Linked DNA regions of Lonchura striata. The protein of the gene in region 2 interacts with the protein of the main gene of each other region in a pairwise test. Links are inferred from orthologs where the notes say so. Each region holds a gene or a part of one and is shown on either strand. Other genes may lie near its edges.

The links.
Region 1: the proteins of caspase-10 (region 2) and RIOK3 interact in binary tests that used the Homo sapiens proteins (3 or more experiments, as listed by UniProt). The link is inferred for Lonchura striata from reciprocal best matches to the Homo sapiens genes CASP10 and RIOK3.

Annotation. Positions count from the first base shown.
Region 1 is NC_134603.1:47,148,103-47,159,959, forward strand, and holds the start of RIOK3 (serine/threonine-protein kinase RIO3), read right to left. Parts: upstream 4,473-11,857; 5' UTR 4,385-4,472; coding exon 4,319-4,384; intron 3,545-4,318; coding exon 3,423-3,544; intron 2,610-3,422; coding exon 2,464-2,609; intron 2,340-2,463; coding exon 2,235-2,339; intron 1,701-2,234; coding exon 1,591-1,700; intron 877-1,590; coding exon 733-876; intron 1-732. Other genes in the region: SLC35D4 (UDP-N-acetylglucosamine transporter TMEM241), read left to right, coding at 9,014-9,085.
Region 2 is NC_134610.1:27,085,033-27,096,870, forward strand, and holds the start of caspase-10, read right to left. Parts: upstream 5,517-11,838; 5' UTR 5,197-5,516; intron 4,200-5,196; 5' UTR 4,163-4,199; coding exon 3,849-4,162; intron 3,706-3,848; coding exon 3,606-3,705; intron 3,041-3,605; coding exon 2,905-3,040; intron 2,072-2,904; coding exon 1,983-2,071; intron 630-1,982; coding exon 518-629; intron 1-517. UniProt on the Homo sapiens protein: Involved in the activation cascade of caspases responsible for apoptosis execution. Recruited to both Fas- and TNFR-1 receptors in a FADD dependent manner. May participate in the granzyme B apoptotic pathways.

The DNA.
Region 1 (11,857 bases), on a different chromosome or scaffold from region 2:
ACAAAGGGGAGAAAAAAAAGCCAAACCAAAATAAACATTTGAAGCAAAGCAAATCTGCTCCAGGATTGATTTAATAATCTTAGTATCTCATCAGCTGTGCAGCACATAGAATATCTTACTAATTGCACATATAGACTGTGGCTCGACAGCACTTTCTACAGTGTTTTCAAGAAGCCTTTACAAATCATGAATCACAATATCCTAAGCATTATATTTCTTTGATATAAGTAACAATAAAGCAAAGCAAAACACACAAATTTGAACAAGTCCACATCAGGAATTACCAGAGGCCCTACTTAAAACTCAGCCATACAGTCTACCAAGTAAACTTCTAAATTATTATGCCAGTTGGTCACCTCATCCTCCTGAACCTTGTTATGAAGACAGATATTTGGAGCCATATGGTTCAACTGCAGGGGATTAGTCCTCTGAATGTTTCTATAAATAACTTCCAGGCAGTTTATTCAACATAGCAGATTAAGAGACAAGTTTAGAAAGACAAAGACAAAAAAACAGTAGCTGCTTGCTCTTACTTCAACATATTTTTCACAGTAATGTAGCTCAAATAGCCTTTTTCTAATAGGAGCTAGCTGATATTATTTCTTTCAGCAACATTAACATAATGTTGCTTAGCTGTTTTACTAAAAATGGAATGTTGCAAGAAGTTTCCCAGCAGCGTTTAGCTATTACACAAGATGAGGAGTAGATCGAGAGACTTGATTAAAAACATACAGCAGTGGAGTGCTCCTTCTTCTCATGGAGCCTTGCACTTCGACGTTCCTCAGAGTATGCATGCTGTTTTAAGGCATTGAAGACTTGATTTGACAGCTTTAAGTCCATTCCAATTCCATCCCCAACTTGGAATTCAGGTGCAAACTATGAGCAGAAATAATAGAAATTTAAGCATTGTTACTAGCAGATGCCAAAAGTTGGCACAAACAAATTTCTCATTCTGATTTGGAAAAACTTGGGATAGATTTGGACCTATGTGAAACCCACTTTGTGCAATGTTGTCACTATGCTTAAAAAACCCACTGCTTTAAACTCAGAACTCAAAGTTCTGCCCAAATTGATATGAGATTACCTAACATCCTGCAAAAGTAGTACTTGCAGCATTACCTTATTTACAGAAGTTGCACCAGTTACTTTAAAAAAGATTAAAGGTATGTACTACAGATAAACAAACTGAAAAGCTGTAAGTCAAGGAATTGACTGAAAATAAGTTACTTGGCTTACCAGAAAAAATTAATTAGAAGAGAGATTGCACAACATCTGTGCTTTTCAAAAATAGCTTTTGTGTTTTATTTGCTTGTGTGACAGACTTGCTGATAGTTTTGTTTTCCCAAGAGAGTTCTGTGCACATTCTTGAATTGCTCAATAACAAACTACTTTTAAAGAGAAAACCCACAAAACTCAAACTGCCAATGTGAATAACCAATAAAGCAAAGAGTGCATTGCTATCATCCAACAGGGAAAAAACAGAAGTCAGCCCCCTACCCAGCAGTACTGGTGGACAAGCATTAGCTCTTTGGCTGAATTGCAGCATTCCAGTTTTACACACAAAATAAGTTTCCTTAAGTTTTCACTTACATTTTCCATGCGAGCAGTGTTTTTTCTTCCACATACCACTTCATCATGTTTCGTAGTAATGTCTTTTCCTTTTCCTATGAAACCCCTTCTTGGTGTAGTAGTAGGTTTATCTGCCCGCAGTGAGAAAAAGAAATCAAACTTTACACCTAAACAAACATAACCAATGCTTACAGAAATCCCACAACATCCACAAAAGTAATATAATTTTATTTATAAAACAGAGTAAATTACTTCAATTATATGATCTTAATACAGTCTTCCTCTATCCTAAGCGTGACAGCTCCTTTGGCTATGTTACAACTTCTCAGTCTTCTATGGGGTGTCAGACCCATTTCTGGCATGCTACAACATGTGCAGAAGATATGTAACTATTTCATCCAAACGTGGATGACAGATGAGCACATCCCACAGTACTTCCCATGTACGCTGGTTATTTTGCCAGATTCAGCCACTGAAGCTAATACACTGGCAGACAGAAGCCTGAAGTTACCCACCCAACCTCCTGCTGACACCTCCCATTGAAGTGACCTGATTTTAAATGTAGCTGGTGTCTCTCCTTACATTAAAACAAGACCTAATTTAACTCTGTCATACTCTCAGGTCTATTGGCTGAAGAAATTCTATTGTTTAAAGCTGTCCCATACCTGCTCTATATGGATCATGACGGGTATCCTGCCAATCAACCTCATCCTCTGAGCTGTCACTGTCATAGGGATGCACCTTCCGATAATTTTCAAAGGATATGGAAACTTGAAAAACAAAACAAATAAGCATGTCTGTGATTATTAGGGATTTGCTACTTCCTCACAGCTCTGTCAATTTAAGGTAAGTGCCAAAAACAGCTCCAAAGCAAAAATATTCTGATGAAGGTACCTTTGCTATCTCCATTGATCTTCTTCTCTTCACGCCGAAGCTGCGCATCATATTCCCTGTCAAATTCCATCTGCAGCATCTGAGCTAGCATTAGATCACTAGAAGTGTCAATATTTTCTCCTGTAATAAATGGTCCTTCAGCAGCGCTACATTAGATAAAAATAGGAATTTTAAAAAAACTAAACACAACAATCTAAGCAGAAACACTGCTTTATACTGCTTTCCCACTCTATACAACAGACTTCATGCAGAGCTGACAGAAAGGAATGGATCTCAGCTGTCTGCCTCCTCTCCAAGCCAACACAAAATATTAATAGATCATTACTTCATTTCTCTTTGCCACTCATTAACAATGTAAATTTTACTTAAACTTTTGCTTGTTTACCATTCTGCAAGAAGCATTAAGCTCTATTTTTAAGATGTTCTTCAGGAAAAAAAAAAAAAGAAGGCATACAGGTGTATGCACGTGTATACTTATTTATATGTTTAAAGCATCCCAAATATTGTTGCCTTGTTCTGCTTCACAGGAAAGATAGTCAAAAATTGTAGAATTTTAGAACTAGTAATCTCTTAGCCTTTGTTTAGAGCTTTCAGGTAGTGGGAAGATACAGGTGATATACCTGACAGTTCTCAAAATAACATTGTATATTGTTGAAAAGAGTTCCTAAAAAAGTAGGAAAAAAACATTTCTCTAAATACAGCTTACAGACTGTGTTAACACCCCCAGAAAATACAAAGAAAACATCAATAAGGAAGGAAGAGCATCAGGGAAGAGAATCTAAGGAAGACTTTTAGCTGAGGAAGCCATCTTCACTGAAGAAAATCTGAGGAAGCAGAGTTAGGGGGAATGGGCAAATCATTTACTATACTGCTATGCACTGAGCACATTGTAAGAAAATGCACAAGAGAGAAGATGGCATCACAACTATGGAGATCACTACTCCAGGACTTAAACTTACGCAACCACTTCAGGAAAAGCAGCATTTTCTTCTTCCAGTTGCAATTCTTTTGCCAGCTCTTCACTCATTACATCAGCAAGAGAACATGATATTGATGTTGTGCTAGGGGCTCCCCACGGACACTGTAAATAAACATTTTATTCAAGTCAGCAAGACTTGTGCAGCGGCAACACAATAATCAGGATTATTAGCTATCGCTGGCTCCAAAATAAGCTCATGTAATCCTGTAAGGGCTCTTCTATAGATACTTGGGGAACTACTCAAAGAGTAGTTTCATAAACTCAATCGGGAGAACCGGCGTTGAAAAATTGTTGATAGTCACTTACTAATGAAGGAAAAAAAGTCAGTTTGTCAGTGTCGGTACCCTCTGGAGACAGGGGTAAAGTTTCCCCAAGAGGTTTGCAAACAAACAGACACACAACCTATGTAAACTTCTCTTGGAATGCCCAACAGCAATGGCTTACGCACTGCTTCCTCCCCCGCTCCCAGAGCGCTGAAAGGTCAGCCACCGTAAAACATGGCATCTCAAAGCCGCACAGGGATACAACAGCTCGCTCGGGAGGCGGGGGCTGGGGAACGGCAAATCCAAGCAAGCCGGGACTCGCTGCCTACCGCCAGGATAACCGAGCTCACCCGGCTCCAACTCCCTCGGAGGGAAGCAACTCAGTTACCGGGCTGGCACAACAGCTCTCTCCACCAGGGAGCTCATTGCCGGCAGCAGCAAACCGCGCTGGGGTCGCTCTGCCGAGTGACCGCCACCCTGGTGGTGCCGGCACCACCTCGAGCGCCCTCCCCACGGCCCCAGCGATCCTCCTCCTCCTCCTCCTCCTCGTCGTCCAGCTCCCGGAGCGCGGGCAGCGTCGGGCGCGGCCCCGCGGCGCCGGCACTGCGCTCACCTTGCTCTGCCAGGCGGGGCCCGGCCCGGCGTCGGGCGCGGCGGCAGCGACTCCCACCGCGTCCATCGGGCACGCAGCGGCGGGCGGCAGGAGCGGCGTCTCTCCGCGACTGCGGAGCCTTCCGGGTCCTCCGCGGGTCCCCGCGGCCGGCAGGCGGCCCATTGGCCGGGGCTGGCCCGCCTTTCCGGTGATGTCACCGGGCGGCCGCGCCGCGCCGGCGGAGCCCCGTGCGGAGCCGCGCCCGGCCGCCCCTGCCCGGCGGCTGAGGGGCAGCGCCGGGCTGCGAAAGGGAGAAATTTAATAGCTGACGCTGGTTTTTTATCTCGGGAAGTAACCAAGGGAACCAAGGGTGGGAGGGAAAAAAAAAAAAAACAAAAACAACCAACCAAACCAAACAGTAAACCAGCGGCAAAACAAATGGATGGAATCCAGAGAAGGGTAACGGAACTGTGAAGGGCCTGGAGCACAAGTCTGATAAAGAGCGGCTGAGGGGCTGGGGGTCTTTAGCCTGGAGAAAAGTTGGCTCAGGGGTGACCTTATGGCTCTCTACAACCACTTGAACGGAGGGTGTGAGCAGCTGGGGTCGGCATCTTCTCCCAGACAACAAGTAACAGGACCAGTGGACATAGCGTTAAGCTGCGCCAGGGGAGGTTTAGATTGGACATTAGGAAGAGTTTCTTCACCGACAGGGCGATTAGATTGGAGTGAACTGCCCAGGGAGGTGATGAAGTCACCGTTCCTGGAGGTGTTTAAGGAAAGACTGGATGTGGCACTCATTGCCATGCTCTAGTCCACTTGGTGTTTGGTCATAGATTGGACTCAGTCTCAGAGGTCTTTTCCAACCTAATTGACTATGTGAAATGAAATACTTAGCATTTGTTTTTATTTCAGGAAGTAACTGAGGGAACAGGAGAAAATACAACTAATTAACCAAACCATAAGCAAACAAATTAATCTGATCCCAATTCTGTAAGTCACTGTAGATCCAAATTTAAATACTTTGTATGTGACCTGCTGCCTTTTATATCTCAATTTTATATGTAATGTTTATCTGGAAAACAGTATTGTGACTAAAATGACCTATTTCCAGGACAGCAATGAAATTATAGTTTTGCTATGACATATTAGGTCTACTTGGGCAAGTTTCCGTAAAGGAAGGAAGCAATACCTAGAAATCTCCTCTGGCTGGTTTATCACCATCTGTTGAAGGTATCTGTCTGCAGTCAGACAAATGCGCTGTCACTGTTGATAATCTGAAAACCAGCCTAGGAAAGCTGCACTTCTGCAAGGGCAGAAGTGGTAAGGGATTCTGTGGTAAGGAATCCCCCAGCCTGCTCAGAGTAAGTTCCCTGTTTTACATCTAGCAAAGCCTGTACTGCCAGGCAGGCCCAGTAAGGCCACTCATATCAGTTCTCAGCCATGCAAGAATCAGCTTTGTTGGCCAAAGTTCCTCTTATTTGTCCTTAGCAACCTGCAATGACGTAACACGTTATGATCTCCTAAGACAGTTGGTTCCAGAGTTCACTACAACAGAAAGTTCCCAGCTAAAAGACATACCATTTGGAAGAGGGTAGGGACCTAGGTTGTAACACACAACCTGCAGGCATGACACAGGCTTGTGCCACGAAGGCATTTTAGGATCATAGAATTATTTAGGTTGTAAAAGACCTTTAAGATTGTCAGGTCAATGACACACAGCACTGCTAAATGCTGGCAAGAGTGGCTTTGTCTGGTGACACAGTACCAGCATGTTTCTTACCCTCTCTGCACTTTTCACCCTGGTGAAAAGAGATTATTTTGTTCCCTTTGCAACTGCCTTTTGGCATATGAAGATTACTGCATGATCCCTTCTATCTTCTTGGTCTAAAATTAACAGTTTTATATATGAGCAGAATATCAAAGCAATGTCCTGCTGCCCTGGTTAAAATCATTATTCTTGCACAGCTGTACAAGCACTGATTAAGAAAATGGGTTTTGGTAGGTTTTGATTCAGAAAGACACGAACAGTAACTATATATTCCTATGTCTTGTTATTAAGCTTTTAGTTTTCAAAAATAAGTTTTCTATTTTAGTCTCTTAAATATTTCCTGATTAGGACATGATCCCATGACCTCTCATGTGAATAGATCAAGCTTTGAACTGAATTGTGTTAAGAAATTTATAGAAATTTACCTCTTCATTCTTAATCCCTCAGTGTAAGTGGTGTACAAGAATTCATACCTGCCTCTGTATTTGGCTGTAAGAAAATATATCATTGCCCAAGATGATATATATGTCCCACTTCTACTAAGAAATACTGCAAAAAGCTCAGACATATCACTGTAATATTTTGCATGAAAGTGATAGCCCACTGTAATAAAATGTCAAAAGTACTCTTACTGCATACTTATATTAGTCTTTGTAGATATCCATGAACTTTACTTACTCTTTTTTAAAGCTTTACAGGCTGAATTTGTGGCACAATGCAAAGTGTGCCTTTGTTTGCCAAATACACATTTCACATTTGTACATAAACAAGTGCTCTCAGGTGCTCTCACTTTGTACATAAACAGATGCACAGTGGAAATTCTGTATCCCTGACATCTCTAACACATCCATTACAGTGTCTTATCAGTGATCTCCATGAACCTGGATGGACCAAACATTTCAGCACTGGAAATCGAATGTCTTTGTTGGACCACCACCTTACAAACCAGATAGGATGATGTCTGATTCACCAAAACACTTGAATTTATCTTGGTCAGCTGTTCAGCTGTTGCACTCTGTTGACCTTGTCTTTTGAGGCTAAATGCAGCAGGTTAGACAGGCTCATCTTACGGCCTGGATTTGACCACTTAGTGCCTCCCTCCCTCCCTAGTTTAAGCCATGCTCATAAACAATTCCTTACTTATGCTGCTTTGCTCTGTCCTCTAAAAAGAGGGTGTACATGTACAGAGAGAGCCCCATACTTTGTGTTACCTGAGCAAAGTCAAGGTAAGAACTGCAAAGATAGGGCCTTGCTAAATCCAGGACTGGGAAAAACAAGGCTTACCTAGGCCGTAATAAAAGATCACCCAGTAACCATGACCTGACAGGGCGTGTCTTTCACTGCTTCTGACCTGCCTGGGATATTTACGGTTCACACGTCACCAGTGAATCATAGAATCATAGAAGGTAGGAAGGGGCCATTCAATTTAGCCATCTAGTCCAGCCCCCCTGCAATAAGCAGGGGCTTCTTCTCATGAGTGTGAGTGGGGTCTTCAGACAAAACTTAGTAGAGATCCCTCCCATTGAGCCATGATGTGCAGACAGGACTCCCTTGCTTTCTAAATTCCTTCTCAGAGAAGAGCCAAGGTGCAGCTGGATCCAATCTTAGCCTCAGACTGTTGGTGATTTAAGTTTAAGAAATTATAGAGGTGTGATTGAACCTTTGTACAGCTTTGTCCTGTAGGATAAATTATGGAAAACCAGATCTATTTATATAAAAATGATTCATTATGGTAAATTATTAGACAAAGAGATCTTACTCAGAATTATTTACTACACACTATAGAAGATAAAACTACTAGAATAGGATGGCACAGTGCACTCTATCAAAGCAACTATATTAAAGCAATTCTATTAAAACTAGCAAAAAAGAAATAGTTTTTAAAGCAGAGAAGGATGTCTTTCACCCATGTCAATGACCATGGGCAAAATCTTTTTCACTCACTCAGCCTTAAGGAGTAATTTTTGGGTGTCCCAACCCAAAGGAGGAATCTTCATACACACTTCAAGAAGGGATATGTTTGAAGAACCCAACCATAAGAAAATGGACTGGACTTTTATAGTGTGCAGTGACTGACTACCAGTCATATATCTCCAAGTCAGCTAAGCACCTTGTCTGCTAAATCTTTACCTCACTGTCAGGATATTAATTTGGGTTGATGTGTCAGTCTAGTGTTGTCATAATTCAACACCAAAACCATCTTGATGCCTTCTCTCAGTCCACCACTGGACTGATAGCCTTGTAAATAGGGCATTGATGAAGTTGCTTGACCACATTCCAAGGCAGGGCATCCTGCTAAACGTCTTTAGCTAGATCAGGTCCAGTCTGGCTTTGACCGCTTCTAAGGATGGTGTATCCACAACCAGTTCTAGCATCTCACCACACTCACCGTAAAAAACATCTTCCTTACATCTAGTCTAAATTCGCCCTCTTTCAGTTTAAAGCTATTCTCCCCTCCCCCCCCCCCCCCCCCCCTCCGCCACATTCCCATGTAAAAAGTCCCTTTGCAGCTCTCTTGCAGGTCCCCTTTAAGCACTAAAAGCTGGTGTAAGGTCCCTCCGGACTGAACATCCCGAACTCCCTCAGCCTGACTCCCCAGGAGCCGTGCTCCAGCCCCCTGATGATCTTTGCGTCCCTCCTCTGCACTTGCTTCTACAGGTCTTCCCCGTGCCGAGTGCCTCGGAGCTGGACGCAGCACTCCAGGGGCGTCTCACAAGGGCAGAGGAGAGGGGACAATGTCCTCCCTGCCCGGCCGGCCGCGTTTGGCCGCTGCCGCCGGGGCCGCGCGGTGCCCGGGCTGCGGCGCTCCGGCCGCTCCGGCCGGCGGGGCGCGGCGCGGCCGCCGGGCGGCAGCAGCGGCCCCGCGGGGGCGGCGCCCGCGGAGCGACGTGTCCGCGGCCCGGCCGATGGCCGCCCCCGCCCGCCGCGCTCCGCGCCCGCGCTGACGGATGTATTTGAAGAGGCCGGCGGGCGGCCTCGCCTTCTGCCTCTTCTACCTGGCCTCCAGCTTCACCAACAAGGTGAGCGCGGGCGCGGGGCCGCCCCGGTCTCGGGCGGGCCGGGCGGGACGCAGGGAGGTGCGGGGGCGCTGGCTGCCGGTCCGCGGCTGCGGGAGCGGGGCGCGAGGGAAGTGCAGGGATCCAGGAGAAGGAGGAGAGACGGTGCCCTGAGCTCTCCCTGCCCTGCTCAGGGACAGCCGCAGGACCAGCCCCTCCCGGACGAGGCTGCCCCGCGAGTGAAAAAGTCCGTGGCACTCCAGCCCGCCGCCCATCCCAGTGTGCTTCCGAAACTGTGGATAGGGTGCCGGTTTCGTTTTGCTCAGTGTGTGACAGCTTTACCCTTCCACGTCAGATAAGTCCCATTACAGTCTTGTTTAGGAGAGCGAGGAGGTTGGCATCACATCATTCCAATGAATGAAGTGTTATAGAGCCAGAAGTTCTGCTGCACTGAAAGTATCGCTGATGCTGTATATATTTCATTATCGGGTGTCTGGCAGCTGCATTCATTCCCAAAAGAATGCAGTTAACTGTTAACTGGAACAGTGATATCAACTTTCCAAGTGTGAAATATTCAAAGTATTGTTTCAGAAGTTAAACAAATATTAACTTCCATTGACAACTTAATTAACCGACAAATTAAGGACAAGAATTTTTTTTTTCCACTGTGTAACAATTTCATATTAGTGTTGCTGAAGTGTCTAAGCGTAAGAAGTAGGCTGAAGATGGCCACATTGTGAATAAAATTGTATAATTTAAGCATAAGCTTGAAAGTATTTTTTTCACTCTAGGAGGAGTAGATAGATTAACTGCTCTGTGCTATCCTATTTGTCAGAGTGTGTGTCTGTATTTCTGGTGCAGATTTCTGAAAGAAAAAAAATATTGGTGAAGCAATCAGGGTATAAATATTCTGAGGGAGGATTAGAGAAAATCAGCATTTCAGAGGTGAAAATGAAATCTTTTCTAGGCATTGGCTAGTGGTTTCTGTTTCAGGATAGACTTGCCATTAAGGATGCTCAGAAGAAGACTGAAGTCCAGACATGAAGCAAAGTTGTAGGGAGAAATAATGCACTTGATTTGACAGACTGCTGGTAGCTGTGATTAGTTTAATGGAAGGGGGCTAAAAGAGCTGCCAGGTTGCATCATGGCTTAACTATGCTTGAGAGGAGGTCATGGGGACATTGACATAAGGCCTCCATTTTACCTTCATGTAGTTTTTAGTGTAATAAAGTTAAAAATAACCAGAATATAGACCTTTCAGTTGTTGAAGGTGGCGTGCAAATGCAAGCAGGAGTACAGACATGTGTGAGTAGATCATCCTGATTTAAAATGCACATGGCAGTTCTGACAGGTGTATGTGTAAAAAGACCTGTTGTGAATCAACATGCTTTGTCTCTCTATACTGACGCCAGCTTTTTAGTGACACCCCACAAACCTAAAAACTGGACCTTGCAAGGTGTTCAGCAGAGTTTGCTCTTTGCTGAAAGAGCAAACTTCTCAGCTTCTCCTTTTGCCCTTGACAGCTTCTGCTGGCTCCTGGAAGGAACAGCAGGTACCTTTCATTTTCTCTGAGGAAGCTTCAATCATTCTTCTCCTTTGCAGAAGTGATATTTATATACTTCATCATGGGAAGTTGTTAGACCTGGAAAGCATGTATTTGTGCCTCACATTTGCATATATACATATTTAGTGTGAAGAGACATTGACACCCATACGTACAGGCCCAGACAAAGGAGGCTAAAGCAATGACACAGATTTTGCTTTTTACCTGCATGTATTACATCTCTGATGGGCTTTATGGACTGCTTAAAATTCTACACAAAACAGTGTGTAAGCAGAATGTTAAGTCTGTAAGATACATTAGCCATAAGAAGACAATTATGTTTAGACTATTGCTCTTGGTTCTGCCAAAGATTTGCTTCATTGGTATGGTATTATTTTAATTGACTGGTGCTTATGGCATTTTGTTCCTGTCAATCCTTTTCCATTCAGTGTGAAGTATGGACTGTGTTCAGAAAATGAAAGTGCAATTCAGATGACAGCCTTTTCCATTGTTCAGTGTGTCCACTCCATGCCTCATGTACTTTAGTGCTTGTTACTTTCCACCGTGGCTGAGGCAGTATCCAGCAGTTCTGGCATGGGAAGTGCCGCAAGTGAGTGGTTTAAGTCACTCGGAGAATCACCAGAAAAGGGATGGGCAAAAGCAGATCTAATATTAAAGTGAAATCATAATAAAGTTTGTTGGTGATGTTCACTCTACTGCCATCAATACTACATTATTACATCGTTATGTCATTATTGCATTACTACACCATTACATCTATGACATCATTATTAGATGGTTAAAGCAGACTAAAAATAAAACTAAAATCAATCAATCTAAAAATCAATCAACCAAAATTTATCTGCATGGAAGTAAGAACAGGAAAGGGAATAAGACACACTGAGTCACAGCATTCATAGTGGACCCACTTGCCAAGTTTAACCCCAGATTTGATGAATGGTTTAGTCTAAAGGTTATAACAGCAATTAAACATAGCCGCTCTTAATCAAAAGCTTAATTTAAACAATTTAACAAAAGATTCATACATAACTTAATATAGGCATGACAGTGACTCACTATCTTACTTATAAACCTAATGCGCTGAAGAATCAAAGAGAGCAATATTCATAATGAATTTGCTATGGCATATCCACATTCACACACACTCAGACCTAAAGGGACTTGTACAAGGTATACCCAGGAAAAATTCCCCTCAAATTCAGTGAAGTACTCAATTTGGATATTGTTACATC
Region 2 (11,838 bases):
TGTCATTGTTAGTGAGCACACAAATGACACCTGAAAACACAAAGAATCTGCTCTTCCCCAGTTTCAGAAAAGATCTTTCAAAATCTTCCTCACATCATTATTTTCCAGTTGCACTTTTGACTATTAAGAGTTCCATTCATAAGAAATAAATAGAGGAAGCAGAACAAAGTAAGAAGTATGCACAGAGTTGCTTGAGTATGGATTTTTGCATTATATTAGGTAGAATGATGGTTTCATTTAGTTTAGTTTTAGTTCTTTACTATAGCTATAGACAAAGGATAAGTAAAAAGTGATTCTTAAAATTATTCAAGAATAATCCAACAGAAAACCCCTGTGGTTACTTGTCCTTTATCCTCTCCTACCCACGATACACAAACGACATAATTTAACACATGTCTAACATTTCACTCTTTTAGAATATTAACTAACCATAGACACTAAAATATAGGGCAATACTACATAATCAAGTCACTTGGGGAAACAGAGATCCTCCAAAAATCTCACTTCAGTAACTTACCAGCATCTTTGTAAGAACCCATCCTCTGAGAACTACCGAAGTTAACATTATTAATAATGAGACAAAATCCTCTGTGTGGCCCATCCATTTTGTAGCTTCTCAATCTTTCAGGCTGTAGAAAGGAGAAGAAAAAAGCTTACAGTTTCAATTAATTTATTCAACTTACTCATATTTCCTTAACATGTCTCAAAAAACAGCAGTGAATCTCCAAGCACATTGTCACCATCCTGTCAAACTGCAGAAGAAGGATTTAGCATCTGGGTTCTCATCTGTATGCAAGAGGCAGGATTTAGCAGCCAAACTCTGAGTTTGGTGACGGGGACAGAAGACCCCAACTGCTTCCAATGCCAAAAACAGTATTTCAGCTTAATAGCAGAGAGATCACACTGAAACTATGGGAAGTTAGACATCTGAGTTGGCTTTTTTTTGAGAACGGTAATAAATACCTGGACTAGGTGATTCATACTGATCCACTGGAAAAGGATGGAAGCAGAACAGCAATCTCAGAAGTACATAAACCTATCACACTACAAGTTTTTTGGTTAAGATTTAAAATTACCTCCCACTTTTAAAAAGAAAACAAAACCAAAAGCATTTTTAAAGCTGAAAAGAACCAACATTTCAAGTAACATGAATTTAAGTCCAACCTTGGGTTGCAATAAAAAACTCCATCCACCAGAGTCCCTTCCTCCTCACTAGAGAGCAATACACACCTCCTTTTGTGCATTTTAGTAGGAGAAAATGAAGGAAGCACTCCAAGTTCCTTCAACAGCTTTGCAGCAGTCTGAACATCAGGTGATGAAAAGATGTTACAGCACAGAACTTCAAGAAATTAAATGGCTATAAACAAATGGAGCAACTTGCTTTTTCAATATCCATGGTCGTCACAAAGAAAAGGCCAGAGGGAGAATTCAATGGTTACACTGCTATGGTTAAAGAGTGCACATAAAGGCCTGTAAGAGGGGATCTCACAAAAAGGATCTTTTCTCATATACCAAGACCTCTGCAATAGCTTACTAAAAACTCTGGCCTCCTTTTAATCCTTCTAACAAAGGCTTTGCATGCTACCCCTTATGACTTCTAATTTCAAGATGCCCTGAGGCTGTTTTGAAACCAGATGCAAAAAGTGAGAACTGTGAAACTCCATTTGTCTCTGTGTCTTGCACGTTCTACTGCCATCACCAAAATGCAAAATGTTTTGCCTTTATCAGGAAGATAAACACTGATGTGTGAATCACTTCAGAGGTATTATGTCCATTTTGCCTACAAGATACCTTTCAATATTGCTAAATCTCTGGCCTCCAAGGTTAAAATATTCTTTGAAACATTCAAATTTATCAGTCAACTCAAGAAACTTTATGAGCCTGATATTTCACAAGCCCTTGCATGATAAATGTCATTCAAGGGAGGATGAAAACCTCACACCCGCAGGTATTCAAAAAGGATTTAAGAGATTGTCTCAAACCTTGGGTTCATTTTCTACATTGCTGAATTCTCCACGCAGCTCCAGGTTTAGCTCAGAGAAGCTTTGTGTAAAATTAGTTTTCTTGTTATCTAGAAAAAACCCCAGCATAGGTATTTATGAAGATAAATCCAATATTTGTGGATGCAACAAAAAGGAGTTTAGCTACAATACATCACTTTTTGTATTTGAAATACTCTTTCACTGAAAGAAATAATTATTCCATACAAAATAGCATGGTCATGTTCAATAGATCTATTCTGATATTCTAGATCTATTTTTTGCTTATTTTTATTAGATGTATTTTTGTAACAAAGGCAAGGCTTCTATTTGTATCGATACTGCAAATTAAAGATACCCATGGTACAAGGATAAATTCTCCAAGACATTCAAATAAATTTTTCATCTGGAAATCATCTTAGAAATTACCAGTATTTAAAAAGAATATGCCTTCTTACTACTGAAGTTGTCAATTTTTCTCATTAATCAATAATAAATCTATTTTTTAAAAATATAAAACCATAAATAATTTGTTTGCTCATAGCCCATGTATCAGACACACATAAACCCACACAGTGTGTCTTGCCAGATTCACATTCACAGATCCCCAAGTGCCTTTTACAGGACAGTTGTCATCATCTCAATACTATTAGTGGGGAAATGGACAAATGAGACATAACTATCAGCAGATTTTCAGTTTCCCACCCTGTTCTGTATGTGCTCTGGGTTGCTCAGATATTCCAGCACATCCCTTTATTTCAGGGATTCAGCTAGGAAATTATGCAGGCTTGGAGTTGTTATGCCAGATTTATGCCACTCTAGCTCCCATTTAGCAATACACACATATGACCTTAAGTTCAGTAGCCCAGACCCATAGTACTTCCTGCATTTTAGCAAACCTGCTCCTAGACAATCAATTTCTCACCTTTTCCCTTTTTGTAGCAGTTTATTGTCTCCAGGAGATCAGGTGAAACAGTCATACAGACCTCCTCCAGTATCTTTACATTGTCTGTAGTTAAAAGGCCCTGCTTTTCCAATAAAGTCAGCAAATCCAAAGCAGACTGACAGCCAAAAGGAGAGAGTAAAATATAATTATTGTTCTTTAGAAATCAAAGCTTGCCTCTCAGCCCTGTCTCAAACAATCACATTATTATCTGCTTTGCTCCCTACCAACAAGGACCAGTCAATTTTACATCACCATTACAGCAGAAATGTTGCTTCATGGAAGCCACTGGTTGTGTTTTTATTTGGTATGGTCTTGTTTAAACAGATTCACCCAAACCGTATTAATGGCTCGTGGCTTCAAGAAGGCTTCAATGCTGTGAAACTACCAATGACATATGGACATCAATCTCCCTTGCATATGGCTCAAGCAGGGCAAAGATTTGATTTGTCACCTTTTTATACTCTGATGCTAGACAGTGAACTGTCAGTGACTGACCTTAGCACGAGGGACCAAATTCTACTCTTGCCTGTCAACATCTTCCTTCCTGCTATCCCTATGAATACAACCAGCCTAGTTGCATATTATGCTCTATTCTGCCAAACACTGCTCACACTTTTTCTTCTATTTCCTGCCTTCCTTCTTCCCTTCCCACCATTTGGCTCATTTGACTCCTCACATACAGGAATTATCCATCCCTTTGGAAGATGGTTTTGCAGGAGGAAAATTATTTCCTTCAACATGTCACTGGTGATGTTCTCTGCCAATTCATACAGCATCTGCCTGTAACAGAGACAGAGTGAGATAAAAGTGGAACAGAAGATGGCATAAAAACCAAAGGCAATCTAAGAATTTAAAAATGGAAAAGAAAACAGTATGGCATAGATAGCAGTAATGGAGGGAAGAGAATTCCACTGCAAGCTTACCTGTATGGAGATATTCTTCCCTTCTCACTCAGATGTTCTTGTACTTTCTCCTTGGTGTAACCAATTTTCTTGAGCAAGGAGTGACATCTAATTCTATATAAGAGTTCAGCTAGTAGGAAAGTATCTTCTGCATTCAGATATTCTTGAGCCATAAGGAGCTTGAAGATGTCTGTTGCTAACTTCACACCTTCTAGTCTACTGAGGTGGAGCAAGTCAGTACAGAGAAATTTTAAAGCTGCTACATCTTCAGTCACCAGACTTTCACTAATAAGAAAAAGCTGCTGATGGAACTTCAAGCTGATATTATTCTCCATGTTGCTGGAACCAACAGCTGAAACAGCTTCTCTCTGACTGAAAGCAGAAAGCAAACACTAGTAACACTTAAATCTTCAATACAGCAATCCTTCTACTAAAATTTTATCCAATGGTTGTTTGGAAGCCCTGAATTATCTTTTAATAAATAAAGGTTTTAAATAAATTTGAAATTTACTTCCTTGTCTAAACACAGAACACAGAAAGACCAGATCTGGCAGAAGCTCTAAACAACCCGGTCTATAATTGAAGTTAGCCCTGCTCTGAGCAAAAAACTGTGCAAGATGACCTCAAGGTCTGAATCTTCTTTTCTTTTGAACATCTTCCACATTCAGATCTTTGCGTCTTTCTGTTGTAATGGGGAAGAGTCCCTGCAGTAACTTATTACAACTATTAATGGAGACAGCACAGTAGTTTGTGCATATTCCTTGATCTGCAGTCCAAGAGCTTGTTCTCTGGCTGTACCAGGAAGGTGTTCCTCTGTTACAAGGCTGACACCCAAACAGAAGCTGTGGAATAACCATCCACTCCCAGCTGTAATTTGCTTCCGGATTGTATTTGACAGTTGGCATAGAAAACCCCTTATAAGCCTCCCTTACAAGTAACTGGCAGTTAAAATGTAATAGCACTCAATGCTCAGTCTAAATAGGCTCTGCACAAGCAACTCTCTCTTACTCAGGTTTAACAGAGACTAATCGACTTTCTACTACACCGACTTCTTCCATGGAGCCTAGGCAGTTCAATTCTGCCCGTGGAAGGTTAAATAGATAAGAAGGTGCTCCAGTGCCTTCTAACTGGTAGATCTTCAATTTTTTGCTTATAGCAATTAGAAGCAAAGGTTTCTACAAGGGGGAGCACAATCAGTGCAGGATCTGCTCGCTGCCCAGGCTTGGAGCGGCTCACCCGCATATCCACAGCTGCCTCGGGGCATCGACACAGAAAAGTAACCAGTCCGCATCTCTGATGTATGCTTTCAGATATCGCCTCAGAAAAGGAAAATCGTATGAAATAAGCAGGATAGGAATTGTAAAATTACCTTTGCTTTAAGCTTTGTATCTGGCCGGAGCAGTGCCCCGCGGGTTAAGCCCGAGGCAAGGCGGAGCGCGCGAACCGCAGCCGGGCCCGCCGGCGCACGTGGGCAGGAGCGCCCCGAGGAGCGCGCAGCCGGGAGCCACCGCACAACGCGAGCGACGGAGCCTTCCTGCGAGCCCTCTCCCCTTCAGCCCCACGCTCTGGTACCTCTCACACGAGTTCCAGTCCCGATCCCTCTCCCGGCAGCTAGCCGTGCCGGCGGCTCGCGGCTCCCTGCGCGGGCCCTTCTGCGGCTCGCCGCGGGCGGGGGAGGCGTGTCCCGGCTCTGCCCGAGCAGGCGGCGGGAGGCAGCGCCAGCAGCAGGGCGGAATGTGGGAGTGGGGAGTGCGAGGGAAGGAGCGGGCCGCGGCTGCCAGGGCCCGCGAGGCTTCCACCAGGAGCGGCGGCACCGCCCCCTCCCGCCCTGCCGCGCCCGGGAACGGGAAAAGCCTTCAGGCAGCGCCCGGGGTACGAAGTGTAAGACGTGACCCGTAATTCGCCTCGCTTTTGCTGCCAAGCCATGTTAAAGCAGGCTACATCGCAAAAAGGCCTCGAACGTTTTAGGCACATTATTTGAATGTTTGTTTCCCGCTGGAAGGAAGCTTGAAGAGGAGCGCTTGCGGGAGAGGGCTGCAACACCATTTGTACGTGGGGCTGCGTGTCCGTGTCCGCAGCAGTAGAGGGAGGAGGAGGAAGGTGAGCAGACTCTGCTCAGTGCAGGCTCCTTGGGGCCTTCAGCATCTGTATCCCCCACAACCTCGCGTCAGTGGAGGCAGGATGAAAAGTGTCTCCTTGTTCATGCCAAAAGTTGTCCAACACACCGAGAGCAGCTGAGTTACCTGCTGAAACTGTAAGTCTTGCTGTCCTTTATTATGTCAGCTCGTTTTTATAGAACTGTAAACTTCACAGCCTAATTTAACAAGTTATATAGGTCTGCAAGATAAACAGACCAAGAATTTCAGAGTTATCCTATGGCCTAGAGGGAGACAGGGACAATCAGTCTGACTGCATACAGAAATTTTATTCAGAATATCACCATGAAACTGAGCATTTGTATCCAGTCATAGTGTCTTATTATTGTTTCTAATACAGAAGCTGAAAAATAGACATAATTTAAACCAGCCACAGAAAAGCTGTCAAATAATTCAGTACAGGAGATTTAATTTAAATTGAATATAGATCAACCACACAGACAGCAATACTCCTCAGCAATACTGTTCTGCATGTCAGAAACTTAAAACTCTGGAAAACAGAAAATAATTCTCAGAAACTCCCATAAAAAGCTTCTCTGACTCAGGTATATGTAATAGGAGCCACTGTTACTTCTTATGCAGAGTTGAAAGGGGAGATCAGCCATACAACATGCTCCATCTACAAGTTATACCACAGTAACATCCTCTTGAATATAAATTCTATTTTGGATAATGAGCTCAATTTACGGCTCAGCCACATCAGTGTAGGTGGCTGAGAAAAACCATGCAACTCAAGTCTGGTACAAAACACCACTGAATCTCTTGCCTCTTGCATACAGCTTCTGAGCCACTTAAAGACATCACCTTCTATATATGGAGCACATACAGAACTACAAGAAATTTTCTTCCAGTTATCAGAAACCAAAACTGTAATTAAGTGCCAAAGCATTGACTCTGACAGCCTTATTCCAACCTCTGACAATGCAGGAGCAGCGTAACTTGTTTTATCTCCTCCAACAGTATGTTCTGAAAATTAGACATTTTGGCAGTCCAAGACCACGAAATTTCACCAGCTGTATTGAAGATTTAAGTGTTACTAGTGTTTGCTTTCTGCTTTCTCTATGTTCCTGTGCTAACACCTTAAACTCATGATGGATCCAAAATTCTCTCCCCCTTTTTCTTTTGGCTAAAGGATCATTTAACCTGAGATCATTTCACTACCTGCAGTACAGGGACAGCTTGATGCAGTCCACACCCCGCATCCGTTTCTAGACTCAAATTTTATGTGTGCACTACAGCAAGAAGAGACAGGACCCCTCATGTGTATGGAGGGACACAGAAACCTGGTAAGGGTTTTGGAGTGGAGGCCCTCTGAGGAGGGGTTGAGCTCACTTGGCTTGTTCAGCCTGGGGAGGAAGAGGGGAGACCTCACTGCAGTCTTCAACATCCTCATGAAGGGAAGCAAAGGGGCAGAGGTATCAACCACTTGTCTCTGGTGACCACTGACAGGACTTGAGAAATGAAACTGTGTCACGGGAGGGTTAGGGTAGAATTTAGGAAGAGGTTCTTCAATTCTTCATCCAGAGGGTGGCTGGGCACTGGAACAGGCTCCCCAGGGAAGTGGTCACAGCACCAACCCTGACAGAGCTGAAGAAGCTTTTGGAGAACACTCTTAGGCACATGGCGGGATTCTTGGGGTGTCCTGTGCAGGGCCAGGAGTTGGACTCTATGATCCTGATGGGTCCCTTCTAACTCAGCTTATTCTATGAGTCTGTGATCCTATAAGCTATGGGAGAAGTGACAGAAGAGCCATCACAGAAGTCCTGCATAAATACTCACTATGCAGCAGGTACAGGGGATCAGCTTGCTTGAACACCACACTTGAAAGAGGTGCCAAGGCAATAAATACTGCTTAGATGAATGATTATAGATTGCGTATGGCTACGTTTGGGAATCTACAGAGGATCAGTGTAAAAAATCAGTATCTGACACCCATGAATGCTGCACAATACATGTCTATCCCCACAACTCTAGAGGATTATAACCACTTCCAACCAAGCAGCCATGCACAGTGTCCCTTCCTTTTCCACTGAAAGGGTTAATTACATGAGCCTCTAGTTTTCAAAACAGCATTTCTGCATAATTTATTAATGAAAGGGACATGGACTTACTGTCTTGCAGTAAGGCAAAGAACATATATACTTCTTAACCCCCAAACCAAATTTGTCACAAAACTGTAAAAGCAGAATCTATTCTACTACTAATATCTTAAGTAAACAGTTGCATTTAGCATCACTCTAAACCCCCCAACCAACCAGCCCACAAAACATCAACCAACTCACCACATCATTAGAGTCTGTAAAGACAACCACTATTATTCTCACTTCCTTTTTCCCGTTTTCTTCTCCTTCCAATATTGATACTGTATTTCTCATCCAAATCATCTACTTGTTCTTCTCTTGATGCTCCCTACCATTCCCCTTCTTGTTCCTGCTTAAAATTTTCACATTTCTTTTCCTCATCTGCCTCCTGTTGATTCCATTCTCTCTGCTTTTGGTTGTCTATGGGGTAGCAGAAGTGCTTGTCAAATGCAAAAGCTAGTAAAGGAAATGGGAAAGTGAAGTTAATCTGTGAAGAAGATCACATATATTAATATTACTTAGATATATGAAATTTGAAATGACAGCATATTTCTACAAGCACAGGAAACATTTGTTTTACCATTTAGTTTATCTACCAACCACCAGAGGAAGTACCTCCTAAGATTCCACATCTGTCATTCTGTATCCTTCCTTTTTTCCATTAAAAATTTAAACAGAAACCAAGCAAAGCACAGCAGGACCTTGAATTATTTTCCCGCATAGGAGTATATTAGGAGTAAAAATTAAATATTTACAAGTGGCCTACTTTATTGTCACTAAGTTCAGTGACAATAAACTTCAATACAACCCATCCAGGTTATACTGTTATACAAGTAGGCTAACTGAACTTTAAGGCAGTTAACTTTTAGTTAAGCAACTGCTACATTGGAGAAAAAGCTTTGTAATTAGGACAATTTTCCCTTTTCTTTTTTCACAAGAACAAGAGCACTTGGGAAAAAAATGAGTTAATAGAGGCATATTCTTTTTCACAAGCAAATGCGGTAAGGGCGGGGTGTTTAACATAATCCAGTTTTAAAGGCCCATGGCTGCTACATACTACATTTAAGTTGAAATATTTTAAAGTCTCTTTTTACAACTATGCCTGGTACAATGAGTGTGAATCATGTTTCAGCTTCCACAAGACATCTGCCAAAATCTCACATTTTTTTAACTGTGTGGCAGATTACTGTAATGTCCTGTCACATGTAGACTCATTTTGCATCAGCAGAAAACATACTTGGCCCAAAGATGGCAGACTGTCTCATTTATTAACACAGAACCCCCATGTGCTGTGGACAGTTCTAACAATGCAATCTTTAATACAGCAAACAGATGGAATCCAGATTATTGAAAAGACCATCTTTCTCTCCCTTCTGTTTTGCCAGTCTATAGAGGCATGCAAGCCAGAACTTGTTAGCAAAGATCTGGCATTACTGGGTAGGAATGCTTTCCTCAGACATTTGCCACTACTAGGTGCAGGGGAAAGTAATCAATGTGTTTCAGTGGTTTGGGCTGGCTTTTTATTATTTAAGTATTAACTGCTAGAAGGTATGTTAAAAACTACAAATGAAGCAATAAAAATATTTTGTTTTTTCTTGGAAAACCCAACAGCTATACAGTTTAGATCTCTTTACACTCTGTTTACCCGGGGTATTCAGTAACAAGGTATGTTGCACTGCTATACAATAGCTACTATTCTCAACCAAGCTTTCAGAGACTACAGTATTAAAATACAAAATCTAGTGTCTTAGCACACTAAAATGCTTGTAAATTCCTGTGTTTGGCAGCAACAGGCACTTTTGATATACATGAAATAACACATAAATAAAAGTATGGAATCCTGATTACTGAAAAGGGGGAGATCTCTCTCTCCCTTCTGTTTTGACAGTCTATAGAGGCATGCAAGCCAGAATTTGTCAGCAAAGTTCTGGCATTACTGGGTACTTCTTGTTAATAATTTCAGATATGTACTTTCTAACAGCAGTTAAGTGGGGAAAAAAAGTTTCTTCCTCAGTGTGTGCTGGAGCAGCAGTGAGTATTGTTGGCTTGGGTCAACGGTCATATTCCCATCATAAACTTTTTTGTTCAGTTCCATATGGATAGCCAATATACAGCGTTTCCTGCAGCAAAAAAATCAAAAGCATTCCATTAGAGAATGAAGCAAGACACCATTTAAGAATTCACAAGAGAGAAGATAACTTCAGACTCAGCATGGAGAAAGTTTGTAATTTCAGTCTCTACTGCAGAGGTAAAATCTCTAACACACAAGGCTGTACACACACACAAATTTTGAGACAAACTTTTATGACCCAAATCATTGCTGTGACATTGATTATGCTGACATGATGATCTGTGGTTTCATGACAGGGCTTTAGGGCTTGTAAAAAGGTACTAAATGTTAGCACTGTAACTACCTTGAATAACAGTTGTTAGCTCCCTGGTAGATCAGCTATATAAATAAAAACTTTGTTGGTAAGTTATAAAATCTTTGTTGCTAAGTTATATATCCAAATGCCTCTGAGTTTTGCACAGATTCGTTTGGATCTCTTTAATAGACAAAAGTTTTCTGTCAGTTTAAATTCAAGATTACCTATTGGAAATCAATTGGCTCTGTGAAAAAATGGTTAATTAAATTTGGAAATGTAGAAAATCCTTCCCTCTCTACTGCCTTTGTCCTGAACTTAAGTACTGACTGTTTACATTTGCAAGCACAGCTCATCTTAATGGTACATGGCAATCCTCAATTTAACAGAAGCCTGTTTATCTTGGAGAAGGAAGATTTCCAATCCCATCTAAAGCACTGACATACATTATCTAGGACAGGTTCTTCCCTTCTTACTCTGCAAACCCCAATGCCTTAACACACTTTAACTTTATACTGCAAAATCAGAAATTTCATTCCTAGTTTAGGCTACCTTTCTACACAATTTTATGAGGATACTTGTCTTTTGACTATGACACTGCAAGAAAACATATTTCAGGGCCAGATGGTTTGAAATTTAAGGTTTCTCATTCTCCATGAAAATAAGCTAGCATAGAAAAAGGATGATTTTTTTTACTCTTACTTTAATTTACCTTTTATAAGGATTATGGAGTAGCTCAGCCAGACAACGCAGATAATATGAGGATGAAGTTGAGGATCGTTCTAGTTTAGACACATCCACTTTGCAATGACTCCAAAAGATGTCTGCTGCTTGGGGAATCGTGACTTTAGAACTGATATTCTCAGCATTCCCATCAACTTCTGACAGACTGGTATATTCTTGCTCATTTTCTGGCACAACATAGCTCTGAATAAAAAAAAGCTTCGGTTTTCCTAGGAGTCCAGGACATGAGTCTGCTGTAAAGTATTTCTTTATTTGTTCCAAAGGGAATCCAGAAAAGGTGTGGTCCGTACAGAAGATGCTCTGAGAGTTTCCACGGCTGACCAATATGCAAACGAAGCTGTCACAATATTTGTGCTTCTGCCACCTTGCAACTTCAAGCAATTTTTGATTCATGGAGTTCATATTTAAATACCTGTGACAATGAACATCATAGCCTAAGCCTCTGAAGGTCTTTTCCAACACATCTGAAAGAAGCAAGATGTAATTAAACCAAGGTACACCAAATCTCAATCTCATCTATATTGAGTTACAGTACTTAGGAGTGTTTTTCTATTGAAACTAAGTAGTTTATTTTATCACAATAATTAAAAATCAGGAGCACTTGGTGTTGATCACAGTACATTACATACTTATAGTGCTATATGCATGTTGTCTTTCCTGTAAGCTA